Linked DNA regions of Rattus norvegicus. The protein of the gene in region 1 binds, or shares a complex with, the protein of each later gene. Links are inferred from orthologs where the notes say so. Each region holds a gene or a part of one and is shown in the gene's direction. Other genes may lie near its edges.

Region 1 (6,536 bases):
ACAGTGATTCTTTTAAATGCCCCTAAATTTTGCTTAAGTAACGCAAACATGGAAATCTGTGTTTGTAGAGCAAATGAAAGTGGTCACATAGTTACGAGTGAATAGATAGGTCATAAGGTAGTTAACTCCTCTAGGTTTTGGTTGTTTCCCCAAGTTCATGGAAAAATGAGAAAGATTAGGGCAATGTGCTATTTTTCATAAGGCTAAACCTCTCAATGTAGAATAGTAGTTTTTGTTATTTTTTTTAAATTGCAAATAAAAACACCACCTTCATCAGACTCGATGATCTTCGAACTTGGCATTTAGAGGGGAAGCTGTGCAGCTTCACATTAAAATCTTACACTTTTATCCCACGACAGAATTATAACTAAAAATAAGACTTTTATCCTTCTTCATAACTTGTGTGCATTCAGTCCTTCCATATCCAGTGTTGCTTCCTTCTCCATACCCACATGCACATTTGACTGCATATTACAAATACTATTGGCTTTATTCTCATGAGAGAGAACATGCAGTTTCTTTTTTTCAGGGAAAGTTATACAGTTGATAAAGTGGCAGAGCTTAGATTAAAGCCAAAGGCTCAAAAAATGTATTTTTTAATAAGAGTCATGTGACAGGACAGCCAATAGAAAAAGGTTTCAATATTCTGATAATTATGGAAATGACGATCAGGTAGCATACTAGTTATAAACACCTATGCATCACTTACTCATCAGAGTCCTTCCTTGTTTTACTTAACTCATTCTTGATGCTTTATTTTTAGCTTAGCAAAAGCAACATTCTCCTTAAGCTTGTTTTAAATATTAAACGTTTTTGCTTTAAGTTTATTTTTCAAAGGGGCACTTCAACCAGCGAGAGCCCAAATGCATAACTCTGTAAGCTTAGACATTACAAATAATTTAGGGTCAATTCAACCATAAGTAAACAAGCTTTATCGAGTTTTCCATTTTTTATTTAGAGCTCAGCTTTCAAATATGGCTGTTAATCTTAACAACAGTTCATTCAAAATGGGAAGATCGGAAACTTTGGGAGAATCTCAGATTTCCCAGCGTCGTTGGAAACAGCAATTGAGCAAGTAGGTAAATCAGAAGTAGGATTCATTCTGAATTAGAAGCAAAAGGCAGTAGAATTGGACATTTCGACTATAGGATGATAAAAGAGGTCCCGAACAAATAAAAAATGTCTCCAAACCTACAGCAAGCTTAATGCCACGGTGATTTTGGTTTTAATGATATATACTGCTCTTGGAAATGGTCATATGTTTAACACAAATATTGTGGTACATCAGGCACTTGTTTTATTTCAATTCAAACAAAAACCGGGTTTTAACATTAGTGGGCTCTGGATTCTCCAGAAAGTACCAACTAATCAACAAGCCCCGGAGCTTGCGCAGTGTAAGAAAGCCGGGTTGACTCAATACTGAGGCGTTGCAACACCTAGCTAAATACAGGACACTGGTTTCATAGACTGCAGGTAACTCAGGCACAAACACTGCTTTCAGGTTTCTGGCGGGGATCAAGTACCCATCCCTAGGCCACGTGCCCTAGAAAAACACAGGAACAGTTCTAGGACATAGGAGCCTTCCTACTCGCACCCCACACCCTTTCCCCTGACTACCTGCAATCCGCTCGGGCCAAGCTCAGCCCCGCCAGCCCACAACAGAGCACTCCCCACTTCCCATTCGGAACTTCCCCCGCCCACTGCCCACGTGACACCTCACCTTCGCGCTCCACCAATCAGAAGCCACCTCCGCCTACCAGGGTCTCCGACGCTCCTCTTTTGAAAACGCAGCCTACGCCTCCTGCCCCAGGCCCCGCCCCCAGGGCGCTGACTACGCCCATTCCTAACTCCCCCCACCCCCCCTACTTCTCCCCGCGCCCTCCCTTCCCGGGCTTCGCCCCGCCCCGCCCCCGGCCTTGCGCCCGCCCTGATCTCGCGAGATCGGACGTGCCCGCCGCGGCCTCCCGCCTCCCCTCCCGTCCTCCCGCCCCCTCCCCCCATCTCTCCACTCTCCGCTCTCCTCCCTCCCTCCTCCCCCCTCCACCCTCTGGGCCGGATCTCGTCTCGCTGAGGCGGAGGAGGAGAAGGAGGAGGAGGAGGACGTTCGGCCTGCGCAGTGAGATGTTTGTCCGTCGCCGCCGCCGCCGCCATCGCGGAGGAGCGCGATAAAGGGAGCCGAGCCCGGCGCGAGGGGAAGCCCGCGGAGCCGCCGCGCCAGCGCAGCCCCCGGCCGAGCCCGAGCCGCCCGAGCCCGAGCCGCCGCCCCCGCCGCCGCGGCCGCCCAGGGGCCGGCCCGCCGCCCAGCCCAGCCCGGGGGCCGCGCCGCCGCCCCCCGCCGAGCCCCGCGGCCGCCCTCCCGCCTTCAATGTGACACCGGCGCCTCGGAGTGCGAGCCGCAGCCGCCGCCGCCGCCGCCGGGGAGGGGCCGAGCACCATGTCGAATCTGAGCAAAGGCACGGGCAGCCGGAAGGACACCAAGATGCGGATCCGGGCCTTTCCGGTGAGTCGGTCCTCGGCGCCCGGGATCCGGAGCCGCGGCCGGGAGCCGCACGCGAGGCCGGGGCTGAACTCCGCCAACAGGCCGCAGCCGGCCTCCCCTCCCCCACGGCCGCCGCCGGTGGCGGGGCGCGAGCCTTCCCGGCAACGGGGCGGCGCGGGGCCGGCGCGGCTACCTCCCGGGCCGTTCCCCGCGCCCCGGCCGCCTCGGGGCCTCCTTCGCGCCGGCCTCGGTGCCGCGGCCCTGAGGGGATGCGCGCTGCCGCCGCCGCACCCCTCGCGTGGGGCGTGTGTGTAACTTTTAGCGTGCGGTTTCCAGAAGGACCCGGCTTGGCTTTTACGGTGGTGGGGAAGGATCGTCCACCTCCGCCCGACTCCTTAGTCAGGAGCGGTCTTGCCATCCGACTGCCCCACTCACTGACAGAGATGCCACGAAATACCCACTGGCAAAACACTACTAGCAGCGAGCATAGTATTTATAGCATCTTTGATCCTGCAAGCCTCCTAAGGACTTGACCCACTCGGGTTCAGAATCGTCCCTCCACTCTTTGAAGGGCCAGGCACAGAAGGAGCTCTTGCTTTTCCGTGTCTTAGCCAAGGAAGTCCCCAAGAATAGTTGCCACTCAGACTTGTTTTACCTTGTACGTCTTTAGCGACAGCAAACGTTTTCTCTTCAGAAACTTTTCGTCTTGGCGTTACGTTGAGTCATAGGCTTGCGGTGTTTAGTAGATGGAGTGTATGTAACTTTGGATGTCTTGCCTCGATCAGATAGCCAGTGGCAGGCAATTAAAACGTCCTGTTGTAACAAACTGGACGTACTTGCTCATGTCGCTACAGTAACAGGTAAAAGTCAAATAGACAAACCAGCAGTGGAGCAGATTTTTAAAAGTAAAACTGGAGGAAGTTGTTTTCCCCATCAAAGGCTCATAAGCATTCTGTCCTGTGGGAGGGAAAGGGGGCCTTTGTCATCACTTTTTGAGCAGGCTTTTCCTGAAGTACCCTTTGCTGTGAGGAAAGGAAAGACCACGAGTTAAGTAACTTTGACCTGGAGAACTTGAGGGCCTCTGAATTCCTCATACCAAAGAAGTTACAACCGATGCAAAATTGTGGCTTTGCAAGGGACATAGTGTCAGCGTGTAGAAACTTGCACCTTAATGTAAATAAATGGGCTCTATGTAAACATGTAGGGCATAATTGGGTGAATGAGGTATTTTGATATTAGTTGCATTATGAGTGATTTTTCTAAATAAGAGATTACATCAGAAAGTGAGAAATGCCGGAAAAACAGCGCTAATAAAGGTAACTATTATGTTTTCCTTTGTAATTGGACAGTGAGCCAGGTTTATGAGCTTAATTTCCCTACTGAATCAACCACCCAAGTGATTGTCAAATCCGAATCCTTCCCTCTTTTTTTTTTTTTTTATAGCAGAATTCAGACTTAGTTGGGATTTTGTTTTGTCTTGTTTTTTGCCTTTTTTTTTTTTAAGTCAACAGTGACACTGATTTTTCTAGGAAATGTTTGCTCTTGGTTCTGTTGTTTCTTGGAGTCTTTGTTGTTGGGTAAAAAGTGAAAGAGCTTATATTTGGCCAGTTAATATTTTTCAGAGTAACCAGTTCTACCTTTATCTGTGTTTGCAACTCTTTGATCTCTAGATTTCTCTACTTGAACCTGTAGAGAAATCATCATTGGTCCAAGATATACTGAGTACTGTATGCAGTACTATTTATTCCTAGAGCTTTAGGACTTAGCAGTAGATGTGAAAAAGGAAAAGATCAGTGTTTTCTGGAGCTAGCATTGGGGATTAGAAGCAGGAAGAGAATTTTGTATCATTAGCTGAAGATGGTAATAGTGTGTGATAAGCTAGTATTGAAACTGAGATTTTGTTTTGTTTTTTGTTTGTTTTCTAGTTCGTAAGTAAATAACCATAGGTTGTTCCCGTTGAAAATAATCAGCCATGGTTGAGGCTAGATAATGCCCCAGTGATACTTCATTGAGTTCTGGGAAGTGCATCCTTAGGCTGTCAGGATTTCTTTCATTCAGATTAGATGTCTTGTATATAGTAAGTACAGCCCACATGGACTCTTAGAAGTTGTAAGTATGTGGTATTTCACACACAGAAATACATACCATTATTTGCTTATACATATATGTTCTTACAACTGGTATATGTTGTACCATGTGAATATGTTGTTACCCATAGTTTATGGCAGACTGTAAACTAATCAAGTTTCAGTTGCTCATTTCAGGTTTTTTACAAAATGGATGTGTAAAAGGAATGAAATAAGTTTAGACTTGTTGGTTTTCACTGTACAACAGTGGTAAGTTAACTTACAGGATATATTTCATAAATAGATGAGTACTTTTGATAAAAGTTACCATATAAATCAGGGTCTTTACTTTTTTTCCTTACATTTTTAGTGGATATTTTAAGCTTGCTGTCACATTATTAAGCAGAGTAAAAGTTACACCGTATTAACTTAGAATTAATACAGTTTTTTTCCTGCCCCCTCAATTTAAGTAAATCTACAAAATTTATTTAAAATAATTAATTTCTGTATTTTTAATTGTTGACAGAAAAAAGTTAATCTCTTAATTTTTAGACTTCCCTTCATTATGTAGAGTATTGCTTATTATACATCTTTTTGTTGGTAATTTTTTAAAAAGTTTTTTTTAAATTATGTGTGTTCAGTTGTGCATATGAATACAGGTGCCTGCAGAGGGCAGTGGGGTCAGATACCCTGGAGCTGGAATTAAAGACCCTTGTGAGCTACCCATTCCAGTCCTGGGAACCAAAGTTCTGGCCCTCTTCATGAGCAGGGGACACTTTTAAGTGCTGGAACTGAGAAGGTTATTAAGAAAGGAGGTTGTGTATGGATTTGAGCCAAGTAATTCCTTTGGGAGAGATACTTTCCTCACTGTTACCATGTGTCCTTTTTTTTTTTTTTTCTTCCTTTTTTGCGGAGCTGGGGACCGAACCCAGGGCCTGAGCTAAATCCCCAACCCCACCATGTGTCTTAAGTCATGCATTCTTAGCTCTGTATAGTCTGTTGGGTTAACATTTTTCTGAAAAGCCATTCCTCAATGCATTGTCCAGAATTTTTGTTCCTGTGGGCTTTTAACAGGCTTGCTTGGAATTGGAGATGTGATTATTGAATGAAAATGTTATCCTTAGATTTAGGAGACACTGTGAAAATCACTTCTACTTTGTGACCTTTTTCTTAAAACTGCTACCATGAGTCCTGGAAGTAATGTCAGTTAATATTATAAAGCTTATAACAGGGACAGGGACAACTCTTGATGTAATCTCCATGATTGTAGATGAATTTCACCTGTGCAACATGGTCAGCAAATGGTGCCCACAAAATGACAGAAAAGTTAAGATGTTTTGTGACAGTCATTAGAGCATGAAGAGATAAGGGCTTGGGTATATAGTTGATGTCTTTTTCTTATATTTCTATCTACATAAGTATTTGCCAGATTTAAGGGACATCTTTGATCTTCCTGATAGTTTTTTTTCCTCCTAGAGAAGGTACTTGGTACAGAAAACTATCTAAACTGTATATATAGTAGAATAACAGTTTTATTTACACAAAGCCAGGAATTAATTGTTAATCTGTTTTCATTCTCTGTTACTTAATTATGGAGGAAGGTGTATCAAAATGTTATACTGAGACTGTAAGTGCTTTCTGCTTAATAGTTTTGGGACAGTGTTTATAGTTAGCAGTTAGTGCTTCCTTGCTTTAGAAATTAAAAAGCAAAAGAGAAAAAGAAAATAAAAAGAAACATTACTTTTCATCTTTAAAATTTTTCTATTATATGTATATGAGTGTTTTTGCCTCCTTGGAGGTCAGAAGAGGGCATCAGATCTACTGGAACTGGAGTTGTAGGCTGTTGCTAGCCACCATATGGGTTCTGGGAACTGAATCCTGAGCCATCAGCAGCTGTATAGCAGGTGCTCTTAACCATTGAGTCATTTTTCTAGCCCCTTACTTTGTTTTTAGTTATATGTGTATGCTTATGCCCATAAGTATAGGTGCCC
Region 2 (5,925 bases), on another chromosome or scaffold:
GGGGGCTTCACAGGGCCCTTCCGTCAGCTGTGGTTCCCCAGGTGATTGTGAGCGTGAAGCAATCGGCCAGTGTACCGTATTTTTAGATTGTGTGTTTTTAACTCCTTTGGCATAAGATGGAATGACCCTGAAAACAGCTTCTTGGATTTAAGTCTGTGCTAGATGACCAGCTGTCAGGAGGGCTTGTATGTGTGGTGATTTCTATTTGTGTACATATAAAACATTAATCTTTCTCTTTCTTAGATCCATGTTCACTAGCGGCCTTACAGAAAGTACTCAGAAAGAAGTGCGGATCATCGGTGTTGAAGCTGAATCGATGGGTTTGGTATTGAATTATGCGTATACCTCTAGGGTTATTCTGACAGAGGCCAATGTGCAAGCCCTGTTCACTACAGCCAGCATCTTCCAGATTCCTTCCATCCAAGACCAGTGCGCCAAGTATATGATTAGTCATCTGGATCCACAGAATTCTATTGGAGTCTTTATCTTTGCTGATCATTATGGTCATCAGGAACTTGGAGATCGATCGAAAGAATACATCCGTAAAAAGTTCCTGTGTGTCACCAAAGAACAAGAGTTTCTCCAGCTGACAAAAGACCAACTCATAAGCATACTAGATAGTGATGACTTAAATGTAGACCGGGAAGAACATGTTTATGAAAGCATTATAAGGTGGTTTGAACATGAGCAGAATGAAAGAGAAGTACACCTTCCAGAAATTTTTGCCAAATGTATACGTTTTCCTCTAATGGAAGATGCATTTATTGAGAAAATTCCTCCTCGGTTTGCGCAGGCCATAGTCAAAAGCTGTGGAGAAAAGGGACCATCCAACACCAATGGCTGTACTCAGAGGCTTGGAATGACAGCTTCCGAAATGATCATATGTTTTGATGCTGCACACAAACACTCAGGAAAGAAGCAAACAGTGCCTTGTCTAGATATAGTCACAGGAAGAGTGTTTAAACTATGCAAACCACCAAATGACCTAAGAGAAGTTGGGATTCTTGTATCACCAGATAATGACATATACATTGCAGGAGGGTACAGGCCAAGCAGCAGTGAGGTGTCCATTGATCACAAAGCAGAAAATGATTTTTGGATGTATGACCATTCCACCAACCGATGGCTTTCCAAGCCATCCTTGCTTCGGGCCAGAATAGGCTGCAAACTAGTATATTGCTGTGGTAAAATGTATGCAATTGGAGGGCGTGTTTACGAAGGCGATGGACGAAACTCACTGAAGTCTGTGGAATGCTATGATAGCAGAGAGAATTGCTGGATGACTGTTTGCGCCATGCCAGTTGCAATGGAGTTTCATAATGCTGTGGAGCACAAAGAAAAAATCTACGTTTTACAGGGTAGGTAGCATAAGGATTCTTCATCAAAGGGTTATGTTTATATGGCAAGGGTGGTTTCCTTGACGATAGCAAAGCAGGCGATACTCCTAGTAGTACTTAATACTTCCTAACCATAGACTGTGCTAGAACATTCACGTAGAAAATCAAGGTCAAAAACATTTAAATTTTTAAAATATTTTTAAGTTACTGAAATGGTTGGTCCTTTGTTTTTGAGTTATGTTCAGATCTCATATAAAGTTTTTAAAAGCATAATAAGTAATAGTTTATTACTGACTACTTTGGAGCATTTTAAAATAAACAATAAGCAAAGGCTAATCACCCGGCTATTTTTGTTCTTTAATAATATAATCAAGAGACTTGGCTACAACTCTTTTATAGAACTTACTGATTGAGTTTACTGGAATTGACTGTTCATTTACCAAGGAGCTTTGTTTTTCTTCCAAGGTTTATTTTTCTTTTATATGTCTGAACATTTTGCCTGCATTTATGTCTGTGTACCAGGTGCATGCCGTGTTCACAGAGGCCAAAGGTGTTGGATCACCTGGAGCTGGAGTTATAGACAGTCGTAAACTGCCATGAGGGTTCTGGAAGCTGAACCCAGGTCCTCTGGAAGAGTAGAGCCGCAAGTGCTTTTAAACACTGAGCTCTATTTCCAGTTCTACCAGGTTTTTGTTTGTTTTGAATCTTATGTAGGCATTTTGCTTGAGTGTATGCGTATATACCACATGCATACTTGGTGACTGCAGAAGCCAAAAGAGGAGAACCCTGGAACTAGAGTCACAGATGGTGTGAGCTGTCCTGTGGATGCTGAGATTTGAACTTAAGCCCTCTAAAAGAGCAGCTAGTGCTCTTAGCTGCTCACTCACATTCCAGTGCCCACAAAGAGTTTCACTAGTTATGAAACTTTATTACAAAGGCTTGAGATTATCATCTTTAGATCTTAGCTTTTTAAAAATTGTATGTATACGAGTGTGCAGGTCAGACATTATTAACATTGGCTGTTTCTATTGTTGGCCACCTTATTTTTTGAGACAGGCTCTCACAGACACTGGAGCTTAACAATTAAGTCGACTAGCTTGCCTCCAGGTCCCTCAGGAGTCTGACTTTCTTTGCTTTTTCACTGCTGTGGTTATGTAGGTGTGCCACCGTGCCCTGCTTTTTCATGGATCCTAAAGGTCTGAACTCACATAGGTTACATTGCAAGCACCTGACCTGCTGACCCCCAGTCCCTTTACATTTTCTAAGAATATTTTAGTTGTTGGAATTTTGAATGCAGTTTAGATTATTCCAAAATTCTTATTTACTATGTTTCTTAAGGGATTATATTCACATATTTCCTTATATGACTACTTTAATAAATCAGGAACAATGTAGGTTTTCATGAAAATATACATGATTATTTTTAAGCTCTATCCCATTTTTAAAAATGATATTCTTTGCTCTAATCCTTTGACTTAAAATTTCTCAGAGAAGCCCGGATATGTTTGATTTAAGTTGCTTATTAATTTTGTAGAATTAATTAAGGTATAGTACTAATGTACTTTAGTTAAAATGAAAGCATGGTTTGGATTTATCTTTGTAAAATATAGGAATGGTTATATCTAGTGTGATGAAGTGTGAAGTGTGAAGTATGTCCCACCCCCACCCATATGTGGTACTGGCAAAAATAGTTTATAGAGATAATTTTAAGGCTCCTAATTGGAGTATGTAGGCTGTATATTAATGTAAATATTATAGCAAAACAGCAATAACTTAATACATTTATGCACCAGAGCGAATAATTTGTAGCCAGAGGTATAAGAAATGTGTAGACAACTGGGTCATATAAGATGTCTTAACTCCCATGTTCTTTATCAAGAACACCAGAATATAAGTCATAGTAGAAAGAAAAGGTAATATGCAAGCAAAGGTTAGGGCTTAAATAAAAGTGAGGTTGAAACGTCACTCTTATTAAGTATGTAATTTAATCTATAGATGAGAATGTCCTTACTTTAGAATAGTTTAAAGGGAAGCTTTACTTAGACTCTAATATTCTTTTCTAACCTACAAAACCTTCTTACATATATAACCTGGTGATAACTGTCAAAGAAGGTTATGTCTTACAGATTGAGCATTCCTAATGTAAAATGCCAAAATCTGAAATCTGAATTTTGAAATTCGAGACTTTTTTGATGTGGTTCTACATTTTATACCCAACCTTATAAGAGGTCACAGTCTAAACGCAGGCACTAAAGATACCGTAGTAATCCGTGTTTTGACATGGAGTAATCCCCAGGATATTTATGTACATGTAGATACTCTGAGATCTGCAGTACTTAGAGTGTCAAGCACTTCAGAGAGAATATTCCAGCCTGCTCTGCCTATAACTGCCTGTCTCTAGACTCTAGTCTCCATAGAGCTGTTACCTACTATCATGAGACATTATTCTGTGTTCCCATTAAGCTTCACATAGCTGCCCATACCTCTAATTCCCGCTCTTGGGAGGGTAGGGTAGGAGGATTTCAAAGTGAAGATGAGCCTGAGTTCAGGCTAGAGACCTTATCAAAAAACAAAGCAGTGTTATATCATTAGCAAGATCTTGGCAATATTCACTATTTTAATTCTTACAGACATTTTCCTATTGACAGTCTGGCTCAGTGCACACACCTTTTTATTGTCAGTTTAGAAGAGTAACTGACTATCAAGTCCATAAATTGTTTGTTGTCTTTGCTTTATAACAACATTGACATAAACACACGAGTGACCACAAGTTCAAATCTAAACAATTCCATATGCTATTTTCTAACCAAGTACCACACATGTATGTGATGTATTTTTTATGGTTAAGTTGTATGTGTTCATGTTGCCTGCCTTACTCCTCCTGGGTCATACATCCCAGTGCAGATTGGGTGTAGTATTACTGTTACTTTGTATATTCTAGGAGTCAAGAATTTGGAAGGAAAATATTGTCTTCTGAGGTTGGAATTAAAGATACAACTAAACATGAAAATGTACATAATTGTTTCCCTTTTCTTTTTTAGGAGAATTTTTCCTCTTCTATGAGCCTCAAAAAGACTACTGGGGATTTTTAACCCCCATGACTGTGCCTAGAATCCAGGGCTTAGCGGCTGTGTATAAAGACTCCATCTACTACATAGCTGGAACCTGTGGAAATCATCAGCGTGTGTTTACTGTTGAAGCCTATGATATTGAGCTAAATAAATGGACTCGAAAAAAGGACTTTCCTTGTGATCAGTCTATAAATCCATACCTTAAGCTGGTACTTTTCCAGAATAAACTTCATTTATTTGTGCGAGCTACTCAAGTGACTGTTGAAGAACATATCTTCAGAACCAGCAGGAAAAATTCTCTTTACCAGTATGATGACATCGCTGACCAGTGGATGAAAGTGTATGAGACCCCAGATCGGCTGTGGGACCTTGGCCGCCATTTTGAGTGTGCAGTGGCTAAACTCTATCCTCAGTGTCTTCAGAAAGTTCTTTAATAAATAGCAGGCCAAAGCACGTCACTGGCATCTCTCATACTAAGGAAGCTTGTTTAGGAAATGCTGTCAACATTGAAGAAAGCTAACAGTTTTGTATTCAGAAATGGGTGCTCGTAAAGATAGTGGTGTTGGGAGGGATTTGCTTTTACCTTCATGATTTTTTCATTTTAGTCAGGAAAGGTAACAAAGTGCAATTATCAGCATTTTTCCACCCCTGGCATAAAAGTATCATCCTAGAATTTTGTGATAAATAGTTGCTGAGAAACCAGGTGAATTCAAGACAACTATGCACTCTTGAAAAGCAGAGTATTCCTGGGTAGAGAAATCCAAACTGGTTAACGTGACTTTTTATTTTAAATACGGGTAACAATATGAGGCAATATCATTTATTTAGCTGTGATCTCTCTAACACAGAGAAGCACTAACTTAGATCCTCAGTCTTACTATTTATATCTATTTACATATATATTTTTGTGTGCTGTTTTCAAGTGTACGAGATTTAAATGTGCTCTGTCAGACTGAAGGAAAACTCAGTTTTCAGAACGAACTTCAGATTGTTTCATATTTCTCATGTAACTTTTAAGTTAAGCTACAAGGTTAAAGTGGCAGTTTTTCTGTCCATAACTTTTTCAAGTGCTAACACTGTCTCATTAAAATCCCAGATAGGGCTCAGATTTGCAGGTGACTGGTGCTCGTATAAGTTAATTCACGTGTCGTTAGATTGATTTAAATGGTTTATGAGTCAATGTTTCTCTTTCGGATTAGCATGCTAGTTCCATGGTTGTGGCACTTTACCTTGTGACTCCACAAGGTCTGCTATTTGTGTGATAGGATCTGGCCGATGGCCATTAGTCTAACTGGATTCAGTTTTACAATTCCAAGTTTGCACTAACACGGGCTGTTTTGTTGCCCAAACTTTTTCCATCCTCTACCTTTCCAGTCATTGCTAGTATCGTGAAAGTTAACTAATACTGTGAAGTTTTAACACCTACTTACAAAATTCTGTTTTCCAGAAACAAGAGTCTTGGAGTGGTCTAATAATTCAGTGGCTTCTAAGGTTCCTATGACAGTTACAACCTCTAT
Region 3 (5,925 bases), on another chromosome or scaffold:
GTGTCGAACTGCCAGGAAGGGGTAACAATGGGTCAGCTCAAGTTTGCCCAAGTTTATCAAAATATGCAGACTGTGGTTAGCTTTGGCCCTTTTGTTCTTGTTTATAATAGCATGTAGGATAGTTCTGAGGGTGCAGATGCCACAAGTAAGTCCGGCAGTTCATTAACATAGCCAGAAAAAATGGCTTTGTTCTGATTTGGCCACACCCGGTGGCAAGAAATGCACACAAACTGCTATCCAAAAATAGACATTTAAGTGTGTTCAACCAGGACAAATATTTCATAGGATAATACTCAGACTGTGTATTCCCCGTACTGTTCAGTTTGATGTTTCTGGTCACAACCCACCAGGTCGATTTCATGACTTCCTTAATGAAGCGCAGCCTGCAGTGGGCGGTGTTGACACGGACCCCAGTTAGTGTCTAGAACAAGGAGAGGAGCGGAGTCAGCCTCACGTCCATGTCAGCAGGCTTGGGCTCCCTATCTGCTCTGCCTCCCGTCGCTGAGTGACCTCTGGCCATTTAGATGTGGTTTCTGGACTTTACATTCCTCATCTGTCAGTCACAGTGACGAGCAAATGACAGCCCACATCACATGCCTGGCTGTGTCAGCCACAGCCTTACTTGTAGGAGAGGAAAAAAAACCCCATACTGTATGTATCATTTCTTTTCAGAGCGCTGTCAGCTAAGTAACTCTGACAGCCACCAAAACCACCACAGTGTTTAGAAATTACCTTTTCCTTACCATAGGTGATAGGTATCCTCTGCAGTCCAGATGCTTAGAAATGTTTTGTGCCATTATATCATTCTTAAAAAAATCTAAAAGTCTGTGCTTTCTACCCCAAATATGTTTGCTTGCCTCAGTATAAAAATCGTGCCCCACCCCCATATGGGTACTGAGCTTGTAGATGTTTTTGTTACTACAGTATCCCACGTTGGGTGTCTGGAAGGTGTGGGCCTATGTTTGTACTTTACTTGGTGTGCAGGCTTTTCTTGAATTTGTACCCACCCGTCCCCATCCCCTAGTCATAGGGTTTTGCTGCTGTGAACAGACACCATGACCAAAGGCAAGTCTTATAAGGACAACATTTCATTGGGGCTGGCTCACAGGTTCAGAGGTTCAGTCCATTATCATCAAGGCGGGAGCATGGCAGCATCCAGGCAGGCATGGTGCAGGAAGAGCTGAGAGTTCTACATCTGCATCTGAAGGTTGTGAGGAGAATACTGACTTCCAGGCAGCTGACCAGGGTTTCCAAGCCCACACCCACAGTGACACGCCTACCCTAACAAGGCCACACCCACCCAACAAGGCCACACCCACCCCAACAAGGCCACACCCACCACAAAGGCCACACCCATGTCAACAAAAGGCCACACCTACGCCAACAGAGCCACACCCACTTCAACCGAGCCACACCCACTTCAACCGGGCCACACCCCCCAATAGTGCCCCTCCCTTGGCTGAGCATATACTAACCATCCCATGCTTCCTCTTCCTGTCTGGCAGCACACGGAAGGGCTACAGATCGGATTGGCCATCATTCCCATGCGTGTTAGTTAATGTGCACTTGTCTCTCCTGAGGTCATGATTGTGGTTGGTGGCCAGGCACCCAAGGCGATCCGCAGCGTGGAGTGCTATGATTTTGAGGAGGGCCGCTGGGACCAGATAGCCGAGCTTCCCTCCAGAAGATGCAGAGCAGGTACGAGCCCTGGCCAGCCCCGACTCACCTGGGCTCCCTGCAGCCCGTCCCCAGCTGGTGTGTGCCCAGTGATGGCTGTGCCTCGTGATGGCTATGAAGCCTTGCTCCTTATCTCTGCAGACCCCACCCCACCCCCACCCCTTCTCGCTGGCACCGAGGTGCTGCTTGCATTGAGGTCAGTTCTTATGCACTCGTGAGTTTGAGCCGATTCTGGAATTTGCACAAACCAGGTAAAGTTAGAGAGACAAATTGGGAGGAGATGAGTCCCATAGTCACTCTCGGGTATTTCAAGCCGGCGGCGGCCTCCCCGGGAGCCCGTCCTATGCCCACCTTGTCACCCATCAGGTTGGGCGGTCATCCCCGTCCCCGACTCTCACGCCCTATGTTCCTGTGTCTCAGGTGTGGTGTTCATGGCAGGCCACGTGTATGCCGTGGGCGGGTTTAACGGCTCCCTTCGGGTGCGGACAGTGGATGTGTACGACGGTGTGAAGGACCAGTGGACATCCATTGCCAGCATGCAGGAGCGCCGGAGCACATTGGGCGCGGCCGTGCTCAATGACCTTCTCTACGCGGTTGGAGGCTTCGACGGCAGTACGGGTAAGACCAGGACCTGTTGCCCTAACCACTTCTCTGGGCAACCTTGCTAGTCTGAGCATTTTACTGAGCAGCTGAGCGACTTTAAGATCAGGGATTGAGGTGCTTGTCTCAGAGCATGCACCGTACCCCGATAGGCCATCATCCTTTCTTTCTTTCTTTTTTTTTTTTTTGGTTCTTTTTTTTTTTTTCGGAGCTGGGGACCGAACCCAGGGCCTTGCGCTTCCTAGGTAAGCGCTCTACCACTGAGCTAAATCCCCAGCCCCGCCATCATCCTTTCTACTGTCCCACAGAGCAGTGCAGGGGCCCCTCGCTCCCACAGTTTATCTCACTTCAAATTTTCAACCTGGGGTCTAGAGAGAGGGAGAGGGAGGGAAGGAGACAGAAGGAGGGAGGGAGGAGGGAGGGAGGGAGGGAGGGAGGGAGGGAGAGAGAGAGAGAGAGAGAGAGAGAGAGAGAGAGAGAGAGAGAGAGAGAGAGAGAACACATGCATTGGCTCGTCTTCCTTAGGTCCCAGGTTCATTTCCGAGCATCCCCGTGGGAGCCTACAAGCATCTGTAATCCCAGTCCCAGAGTATCCGATGCCCTCTTCTGGCCTCCATGGACACCACACATACGTAGTGCACAGACATACATGCAGGGAAAACGCTCAACACACATAAAATAATTTTAAACATTTCAACTTGAAGGGTTAGTGGGTATGAGTTTGGAGAGAGGCCATCTGTGCTCACATTGCCAGGCAGGTTACAGAAGACAGCGACTACATCCACAGTGGAGTCTCTGGCTCTGAGGGCGGTAAACGCAGTGTTTTTTTGTTTGTTTGTCTGTTTTTCTCTACTGAACGTCTCTCTGACGGCTCCTCAGTGAGCATGAGCTAGGAAGGACACAGATGGTTGTTGCAGCAGGACTTCTCCCGCTGAGGAGAAAACCTGCCCGACTGCTGCACTGCTCCAGAGAGGAGGCATGGAGTTCAGAGGTCACTGTCCCCAATTTGGTCTGACTGCGCACAGATACTGGGGCCAAATTCCATAAGATTCTCTTGGCTTCCCCCGTGATAACCCTATAGTTGTTACGACTCCAGCCAGGACATCTGTGTCCCTGGTAGCAAGAAACAGGAAGGGTCACCCCTGCATCGGAGATGCCGAGGGCATCCTAGAAATCTCCATCAGACTTCTGCCAAGGGCTCAGGGTCACCTAGCTGCATGGCATCGTGGGAGATATATTTTTAGTCATCCAGCTTGTAAAATAGAAGACATAGAAGGGAGGTCGGGACCGGTGCCCGGTGGGGCATCCTCAGGTATTTGTTTCGGGTCTTACAAACGTTCCACTCTGAAAGTTTAATGGTTCACATCTACGGCAGAGTTGGGATGGACCCCTCCCATCTTGCCCGCTTCCCTGCATGCCATGTCTTGGTGGTCAGTGTTCACCTTACGTAGATTGAGGAGTTACTGTGGCCACATGCTAGGCAGAGGTGTACCACGCTGGATATCAAGTCTGTAGCCCTGTCTTGGTCTCTTCCCAGTCTCACCGTCCCTTACACGTCAGGGTGAGGTCTGCGGCTATAGAAATCCCATGATTCTCTTCTCCCCAGGGCTGGCATCCGTAGAAGCCTACAGCTACAAGACCAATGAGTGGTTCTTCGTGGCCCCAATGAACACGAGGCGGAGCAGCGTGGGAGTGGGTGTCGTGGAGGGTAAGGAGGTCGCAGAGGGTGGTGGCTGCTCCTGCCCTAGCCCGTGGGTCTTGTCCTGAGTACAGCATTTTGCTTGATGCTCCCTCTACTGTGACTCCACTCCTCAGGTCACTGGCCGGAGTTAAGTTCCTTGTCTCTAGTAAACAGACAAGGAGGGCCGAGACTTGGTGGGAATGCTCCTGGGCCAATGCTAAGAAGGGGTTAGCAGGTTGGGGGAGAAAGAGGAGACTTGGGGGGAAGTGAGAACTTGTCCCTTGGGCACCTCTGTAAGTATCTCTGCTAACTGTGGGGAATGGGAAATAAGTAGGGAGCCCAGAGTCGACACACACAAACTGGGGCACAGTGTAGCAGGGAGGGGTGATAATTATGCTTGGCTAACACTCTGCTCACCTTCATGTGTTGCATGCTAGCGGGGTCATGAGAAAGACGGGCTGCTTCTTTTTCAGGTCTGACATGTCTCGGGATAGGCTAGGTGTCGGGTGTGGTCTAAGCAGGAGGGTGTGGCCTAAGCAGGAGGGTGTGGCCGGGGCAGGAGGGTGTGGCCTAGACAGGAGGGTGTGGCTTAGGCAGGATGGTGTGGCCGAGGCAGGAGGGTGTGGCCTAGACAGGAGGGTGTGGCTTAGGCAGGAGGGTGTGGCCAGATCGGAGGCTTAGCCAGACGTTCTTAAAACATCTTTCTCTTATTCTTTCAAACCCTCCGGAAGAACTCAGAGGATGGAGTCCTTGTATCATGATAGTAAATAGCAGAGCAGTCCTGAAGGTCTTCTGACTCCTAATCTGGATCCGGAGACGGGTCTCAATTGCTGATAGGTAGGAGCTGTGGGCTCAGTACCCATGCAGAGGCCAGGATTCCGTCCCTCTATCCGGACAAATTGTATCCTCTTGACGAGGCAGACATTGATTTGCCAGCCAGATCCGAGAGCTTTGTCTAGCTAGCTTCTCATTTCCCTTCTTGTTCCTCAGGCAGGAACGGCAAACAGACCCAGGGTTAAAAACAGCAGACGCTTGCGCATACACTCAGGGAGAGACCTTGAGTGGCTGCTTAGCCGATACCAGGTTGGAATGGTTGACGGGAATGGTTAGCGAAGGTGTCTTGATGGTAGAAATTGAAAACACTGCCCACGACAGGGGCTGTGTCAGTGTCAGTCGCGGAAGTGCAGGCAAATGGCTTGCCCCGCAGACGTAGAGGGAAGCCGGGAGGAAAGCACCTGACACCCTGTGGGCTGTGTGTGCTGCCTCAAGAGAGCAGAAAATGTTTCTAAGAACGTGTAGGAGGCACTGGAGTGGACTGTGCTTTGTAACTGCCGAGGACTCAGATTTTTTCTGCACAGTTCCTTCTCCCGGCACGCCCTCTCCTTGCCAAGGTCATGCAGTCTGAATGACCCTGAACCACTAGGGGATAATTTGCTCATTGCCACCTAGAAGAATCCCTCGTAAGGGCAAGCTATGATGTGGGTTGGAGCGTGGACAGAAATGCTCAACAGAGCAGAGGGAGAGTCGCAGAACTCTCCTAAAAATGGGAACCACCTGAGCTGGCACGCGAGGGGAGAGCGGCCTAGGTGAATTTGTTTGTGTGATTTGACCTTGTGAGGGAGGAGCTGTGCAGGAGTTCTTTTCCAGAAAGGTCACCTGAAAAAAAGACTTGGAGAAAAATGCAGCTCAGCAATATAGAATTACTTGATGGTACAGCGCCGTTTTGGACCTGAGAAGCTAACAGTGTAATTGTGGATTTTCACATCCACTATGTTAGGGACTCATATAATGCCCCCTAAATTCTCGATTAGGTAATTCTAACCCTGGGTTTATTTAGCCTGCAGCTAGTGTCCATTTGGTCTGTGGCTGGTGTCATAGTACCCTGTAGATCTGAGGTCCATAGGTGAAGTAGGACTTCTTTCCCTGTCCCCACAGAAGGAACTCTCCTACCTTGTCTAATACTATAT
Region 4 (5,929 bases), on another chromosome or scaffold:
GTTCAAGGAGGGGCTTAGCACACCCAGCTATGCCAGAGTGATGTTCAGTGGATGTTCCGGTTCGGGAGAACCCCAACTTTATGTAACTAACTGTTGTTTACATTATATTTCCCTTCCTGGTAGGGATTTTTTTTCTTTTCTTTTCTTTTTTTTTTTTTTTTTTTTGGGAGCTGGGGACCGAACCCAGGGCTTGCGCTTGCTAGGCAAGCGCTCTACCACTGAGCTAAATCCCCAACCCGCGCTGGTAGGGATTTTAGAGTGAGGTTGAGTGTTGAGAATCAGTGTAGCTACTGTCAGAGACAGGGTGCTTTACAGTAACTAAAGACTAAAATCTGCATCACTTTTCCACAAAAGGAATCAGTGCCTGATGTTCTCATCTGCCCTGTACCTTGAAAGCCTACAGGACTAATTCTTAAATAAACTGATGAAGATGGTGATGAATCAATATATCTAAAATAGCCACATGTGGTGGCCATGCCTTTAATCCCCAGCACTCAGGACCCAGAGTCAGAGGCAAGCAGATACCGGTGAGTTCCAGTACAGCCTGGTCTACAAAGTGAGTTATAGGACAGCCAGGGCTACACAACAAAACCCTGACTCAAAAAACAAAAAACAAAAAATGTAAAATAAGAAACATTTGGGTAATAATCTTAGGTAACAAGTGAGGTGGCACCGTATTTTAGATGTGAACTCCATAGCCCGATGAGTGACTACTGTGACATATTGTGTCATCGCTTCTCTTAAAAAGCCAGGCAGGGCTAGTGGTATGACTCAGTGGTAGAGTTGGGGTACATGGAACTCTGGGTCTAGTCTGAGCACTGCAGCATGGTAGTCCTGGGGCAATTTCAGATTAACGTCATATTTACGTGTGCATAAGCAGATACATATAATGGTGGTCTAATAAAATGGTTCAGGCCTCTTTTCTGAGACAGTGTCTCTTTATATAGTCCTGCCTGTGTGCATGTAACTCACTATGTAGACCAGGCTGGCCTTAAACTCACAGAAATAAGCCTGCCTCTGCCTCTGCCCTCAAGTGCTAGGATTAGAGGCATGCTCTACTACAGCCAGCTGTGGTTCCCCTTGGACCCCCTTTGAGATTGCCATTGATGAGACTGCAGAGATGGCTTGTTGCTCTTGCAATTGTTATTCTTACAGAGGACCATGGTTCAGTTCCCATCAGGAACGCCATCTTCTGACCATCGTGGATACCAGACATACATGTGGTACACAGCCATGTGCGGACAAAGCATACACACATAAAATAGTTTTTAAAAAAACCAATAAAACAGTAATATTGCCATTGACTGTGTTCTTTCTTTGGCTCTCACAGATGGGGTTCCATGTTCCCAGAACCCGACAGAGGCAATAGACGCTTGGATCAATTTCAATAAAGAAGAAAGAGAGGCTTTTGCAGAGTCACTCAGGACTAGCTTAAAGGTAAGGCACATTTTATTCTCAAGGATGGGGTGCCATAGTCTCTCTGCATTCCAGCCCTCAGTGGCCTTCTCTCTTTTGAGCAGGGGGAAATGTGTATCTTTTGGTGTACGTGTTGGGGTCAGAAGACAACATGCAGATGTCAATTCTCTCCTTCCACTATGTGGGTCACAAGGATCAAACTCAGGTCCTCAGGCTTGGGGCAAGCAGCTTTACTGCTGAACCATCTCACTAGTCCAGCCAGGCCTGGCATGAGTGTGTGTGTGTGTGTGTGTGTGTGTGTGTGTGTGTGTGTGTATGTGCGTGTGTGTGCATGCATGCAGAGGTGTGGTTATGTAGACAGTAAGCTATCAGATATTCCTCTGCCACTCTCTTCCCTATTGCCCCTGAGTCAGTGTCTCTAACTGAAGTTTACTGATGGCTAGGCTGCCTAGCCAGTCAGCACATTCCCAGGACCCATTTGTCTCTGCTCCCTCAAAGCTGGGGTTACAAGCATGTCCAACCATGCCTAACTTTTTATGTAGATGCTAGAGATTTTGTGAGAATGCTCAGGTCTTCATGCTTGTACAGAAAGTGCCCTTAGTCCCTTGGACCATCTTCCAAGCCTCTGGCCTGCTTCTTTTCATGGCCACTGATGAGTTACTAGCTTGAAGTTCCTAAGAACTGGGGAGTCAGATGTGTTTTCTGGTCCCACAAGCCGTCTGTCTGAGACCTTCAAAGTTCCTAGAGCTTTTGCCATCTTCTCTGAAAGAACTGCTTTCACTGTTGAGTTCATCAGCTCTAATAAGCTGTAGTGGCTTAAACATGAGTGCAAGTTGAGGACCAGCCTCAGCTACATAGTTAGTTCAAGGCCAGCATAGGTTACATAAGATCCTGTCTCAAAAATAAAAACAAGGGGCTGGAGAGATGGTTCAGTGGTTAAGAGCATTGACTGTTCTTCCAGAGGTCCTGAGTTCAATTCCCAGCAACCACATGGTGGCTCACAACCATCTGTAATGGGATCTGATGCCCTCTTCTGGTGTGTCTGAAGACAGTGACAGTGTACTCATATACGTTAAATAAATAAATCTTCTTTAAAAAATAAATAAATAAATATAAACAAACAAAAGCAGAGTTGACTTCAGATGCAGTTCAGTTGCTAAGATGCTTGCCTTGTGTCATGAAGTTCTGGGTTTAATTCCTAACACTGAAAACCAAAAGCAGTAAGAGCAGATGTGGTGCATCCTATAATCCCCCTTGGAGGCTGATGCAGGAGAATCTAAGCATGAACAGTTTGTTCTACATAGCAAGATCTTATTTGAATAAATATATAAATAAATTAAATTGCAAAGATGAACAAAACAGATTCTCTGCCCCTGAAAATCAAGGGATAGTCAGGATGTGAGGCCTGGACCTCTAAGGATACCTGTGTTAGTAGAGTCTTCACATGAGCTGACATCAGAATTTCAATTTTGCCAACAGGAAATTGGGGAGAATGTGCACATTTACCTTATTGGGAAAGAGTCATCTCGAACCCACTCATTGGCTGTGTCCTTGCACTGTGCAGAAGATGACTCCATCAGTGTAAGTGGCCAAAACAGCTTGTGCCACCAGATCACTGCAGCCTGCAAGCATGGTGGCGACTTGTATGTAGTGGGAGGGTCCATCCCACGACGCATGTGGAAATGTAACAATGCCACTGTTGATTGGGAGTGGTGTGCTCCTTTGCCCCGGGACCGCCTCCAGCATACCCTGGTATCTGTGCCTGGGAAGGATGCCATATATTCCCTGGGTGGCAAGACACTGCAGGATACCCTTTCGAATGCAGTCATCTACTATCGGGTAGGTGATAACGTGTGGACAGAGACAACTCAGTTAGAGGTGGCTGTATCTGGGGCCGCTGGTGCCAACCTCAATGGAATCATCTACTTACTAGGGGGTGAGGAGAATGATCTAGACTTCTTTACCAAACCTTCCCGACTTATCCAGTGCTTTGACACAGAAACTGACAAGTGCCATGTGAAGCCCTATGTACTACCCTTTGCAGGCCGGATGCACGCAGCAGTGCATAAGGATCTGGTGTTCATTGTGGCTGAGGGGGACTCTCTAGTGTGCTATAATCCCCTTCTAGACAGCTTTACCCGGCTCTGTCTTCCTGAGGCCTGGAGCTCTGCCCCATCCCTCTGGAAGATTGCCAGCTGTAATGGAAGCATCTACGTCTTCAGGGACCGATATAAGAAGGGAGATGCCAACACCTATAAGCTCGACCCTGCCACTTCAGCTGTAACTGTCACAAGAGGCATTAAGGTGCTGCTTACCAACTTGCAGTTTGTGTTGGCCTAAAACACTGATGAGAAGAACAGCTGACTCCTTTGCCCTCCCCTCGTCATGTATCCCCAGTCAAATCTGAAATCCCCCAGTTCAGAGTAATGTGTTAGTTTGGGCATACAGGAGGAAGGCAGCGAGCGCCTCAGCCCACCCCAAGGCTCATGGGGTGCTATGTGTAGGGCTTTTCATTCTACTGCTGCTTGAACTCTGCCATTATCCCCTGTGATCCTGTGCCTCACTTCAGACTGCTTAGAGCCAGCCTCTTCTCAGACTTAGGCACAGCCCCCCTTACCAGATCAGTGTTAAAAAGAAGCACCTTGGGTCCCATGCAGGAAGACAGGCCCGTTCCTTTTGTCTATAGCCAGCAGAGTGGCGAGTTGTCACTGCTCCACAGAGAATTAAGTATGAGAGTTTCCCTTCAGGATTTGGATGGGACAGTGGACTAAGCTAAAACTGTACTTCACCAGCAAGAATCAACTGTACAATTCAGGATGTCCTTCAGATGTTTCCTCATCTGTCAGGAAAAGAAACTTTGGTTGGATTTTTGGCTTATACAGACAGATAAGCCAGAAAGTAGAAACAATTGTTTCTGATTAATAGCAGAAACTGTATTCTAAACTCAAATATAAACAGTCTCTGGTCTTTTAAAGGCTCTAAGCTAAATAAAGAGTTAGGAACTGTTCATACAAATAAAAGCTTTTGAAATGATATGTGTGTCTGTGTTGATTCCTGAATGGGTGGCTTCTGAAGGGAAACTAATTGTAGACTTCTTCCTTCCTGACTCAGTAATCCTGCCAGCACCCCATATATCCTTTAACATTCTGATCACTGCCCCAGAAGTGTGAGGGGAGTCCCACAGGACCAGGGAAGTAAGATTATTTTTATTTTTATTTTTGGAACTGCTAGGGACCAAATTCGAGACCTTATACATGCTGGGCAAGCATTTTGCCAAGTCATACAATTAAAATTTGGATCTGACAGTAACAAAGAACAGATCTATGCTCTTCTTCCCTTTTCTAGCATTAAATGCTTTGCTTTACATCACATATACCAGAAACACAATAGATTTCTGTTAAAGTTAGTATTCCTTATCTCTGTCAAAGAAAATAAGATTTCGCCAGACAATCTTGTTCTCTGTGGCCATCCAAGTGTTATTTCAGGAAGGAAGGCAAAGGAGGGACATTATACTCAGCACATTTGCAGTGGTGGTGGCTTAAGCGCTTTGTCCTTTAACATGTTACTGTATCTCGGAGAGCCAAGTTCTTTGTCATCCACAGACTTCATACTCATGTCAGCACAAGAGACCAGTAGTTAGTTCTTTGCTGCCCTTGCAGCAATCTCCTTGTGGAACTCTTTGAGAATTTCCAACTGGCTGGGCCTGATGGAGATGTGTGACCGGATTTTGGCGATAGCTTCTATAGCCTCCTCTGGGCTCCAGTTGTGTACCTGAAGTACAAGGTTAGAAGATCAGCCAAGAGAAGGAGGAGCAGTTATACAACGCCCTTGGCCTATGAGCAGGTGCTAAAGGACTCTCAGAATTAATCTTTAAAAAGATTCGGGCTGGCAAGGTAGCTCAGTGGGTACAGGAACTTTCTGCCAAGCTTGACAACTATGACCAAGAGTCCCAGGAATTCACATGGTAAAAAGAGAGAACTCCTGCAAGTTGTCTTCTGATTTCCAGTGAGTGCCACGGCACAGACATGACCACATGCACTTGCACATATAAATTAAGTAATGTGTAATCAATTTTCTTCAAGTAAATGAAGATTCCATAGTAGAGGGATTTGAAAATCATGTTCCAGCTGGGCTAAAAGGTACAGGCCTGTAAGCCCAGTTACTCAGGAAGTTGAGGCAGGAGGACCACAACTTCAAAGCTTGTCTGAGTTATAGTTCAAAGCCAGCCTAGCTGACTTACTGAAACCATGTTTAGTAAAAAGAATGCCCAGGATATAGCTCAATGGTAGAGCATTTGGTTAACATGCTTAAATCACGTGGGTCAATGCCCAGAACTAAAAAAAGGGAAAAACAAAAAACAAAAAAACAAAACCATTCCTTTGCTAGTGTAGTATGCTGGAGCGTCACATGAGCACAGGAGTTCTAGAGGTTGAGGCCAGCCAGACCAATGTCAGATACCTTGTCAAAAAACAAAAGGACAGGTTTCATGAGAGCACTTTTAACTACCTCAGTC

The links.
Region 2: Cul3 (region 1) and Kbtbd8 share a complex: the UniProt entries of both Homo sapiens proteins name them as parts of the BCR(KBTBD8) E3 ubiquitin ligase complex. The link is inferred for Rattus norvegicus from reciprocal best matches to the Homo sapiens genes CUL3 and KBTBD8.
Region 3: the proteins of Cul3 (region 1) and Klhl3 are in contact, whole or in part, in a crystal structure (PDB 4HXI), measured with the Homo sapiens proteins. The link is inferred for Rattus norvegicus from reciprocal best matches to the Homo sapiens genes CUL3 and KLHL3. Residues at the interface, in NP_003581.1 of Homo sapiens: Ile44, Asn49, Ser50, Gly51, Leu52, Ser53, Phe54, Glu55, Leu57, Tyr58, Arg59, Tyr62, Thr63, Leu66, Lys68, Met118, Asp121, Ile122, Met124, Tyr125, Arg128, Val129, Gln133; in NP_059111.2 of Homo sapiens: Pro73, Tyr74, Ala77, Met78, Asp82, Met83, Ser84, Glu85, Glu92, Ile93, Lys94, Asp95, Pro125, Ser128, Leu129, Gln131, Met133, Arg136, Asp160, Val161, His162, Thr163, Thr165.
Region 4: Cul3 (region 1) and Kbtbd4 share a complex: the UniProt entries of both Homo sapiens proteins name them as parts of the BCR(KBTBD4) E3 ubiquitin ligase complex. The link is inferred for Rattus norvegicus from reciprocal best matches to the Homo sapiens genes CUL3 and KBTBD4.

What each region holds. Positions count from the first base shown.
Region 1 is NC_086027.1:89,114,237-89,120,772, reverse strand, and holds the start of Cul3 (cullin-3), read left to right. Parts: upstream 1-2,345; 5' UTR 2,346-2,434; coding exon 2,435-2,500; intron 2,501-2,510; exon of another isoform or gene 2,511-3,795; intron 3,796-6,536. UniProt on the Homo sapiens protein: Core component of multiple cullin-RING-based BCR (BTB-CUL3-RBX1) E3 ubiquitin-protein ligase complexes which mediate the ubiquitination and subsequent proteasomal degradation of target proteins.
Region 2 is NC_086022.1:129,238,019-129,243,943, forward strand, and holds part of Kbtbd8 (kelch repeat and BTB domain-containing protein 8), read left to right. Parts: intron 1-243; coding exon 244-1,358; intron 1,359-4,378; coding exon 4,379-4,842; 3' UTR 4,843-5,925. UniProt on the Homo sapiens protein: Substrate-specific adapter of a BCR (BTB-CUL3-RBX1) E3 ubiquitin ligase complex that acts as a regulator of neural crest specification.
Region 3 is NC_086035.1:6,628,042-6,633,966, forward strand, and holds part of Klhl3 (kelch-like protein 3), read left to right. Parts: intron 1-1,580; coding exon 1,581-1,698; intron 1,699-2,097; coding exon 2,098-2,295; intron 2,296-3,883; coding exon 3,884-3,985; intron 3,986-5,925. UniProt on the Homo sapiens protein: Substrate-specific adapter of a BCR (BTB-CUL3-RBX1) E3 ubiquitin ligase complex that acts as a regulator of ion transport in the distal nephron.
Region 4 is NC_086021.1:97,341,151-97,347,079, forward strand, and holds the end of Kbtbd4 (kelch repeat and BTB domain-containing protein 4), read left to right. Parts: intron 1-1,330; coding exon 1,331-1,437; intron 1,438-2,895; coding exon 2,896-3,756; 3' UTR 3,757-4,449; downstream 4,450-5,929. Other genes in the region: Ptpmt1 (phosphatidylglycerophosphatase and protein-tyrosine phosphatase 1), read right to left, coding at 5,053-5,187. UniProt on the Homo sapiens protein: Substrate-specific adapter of a BCR (BTB-CUL3-RBX1) E3 ubiquitin ligase complex which targets CoREST corepressor complex components RCOR1, KDM1A/LSD1 and HDAC2 for proteasomal degradation.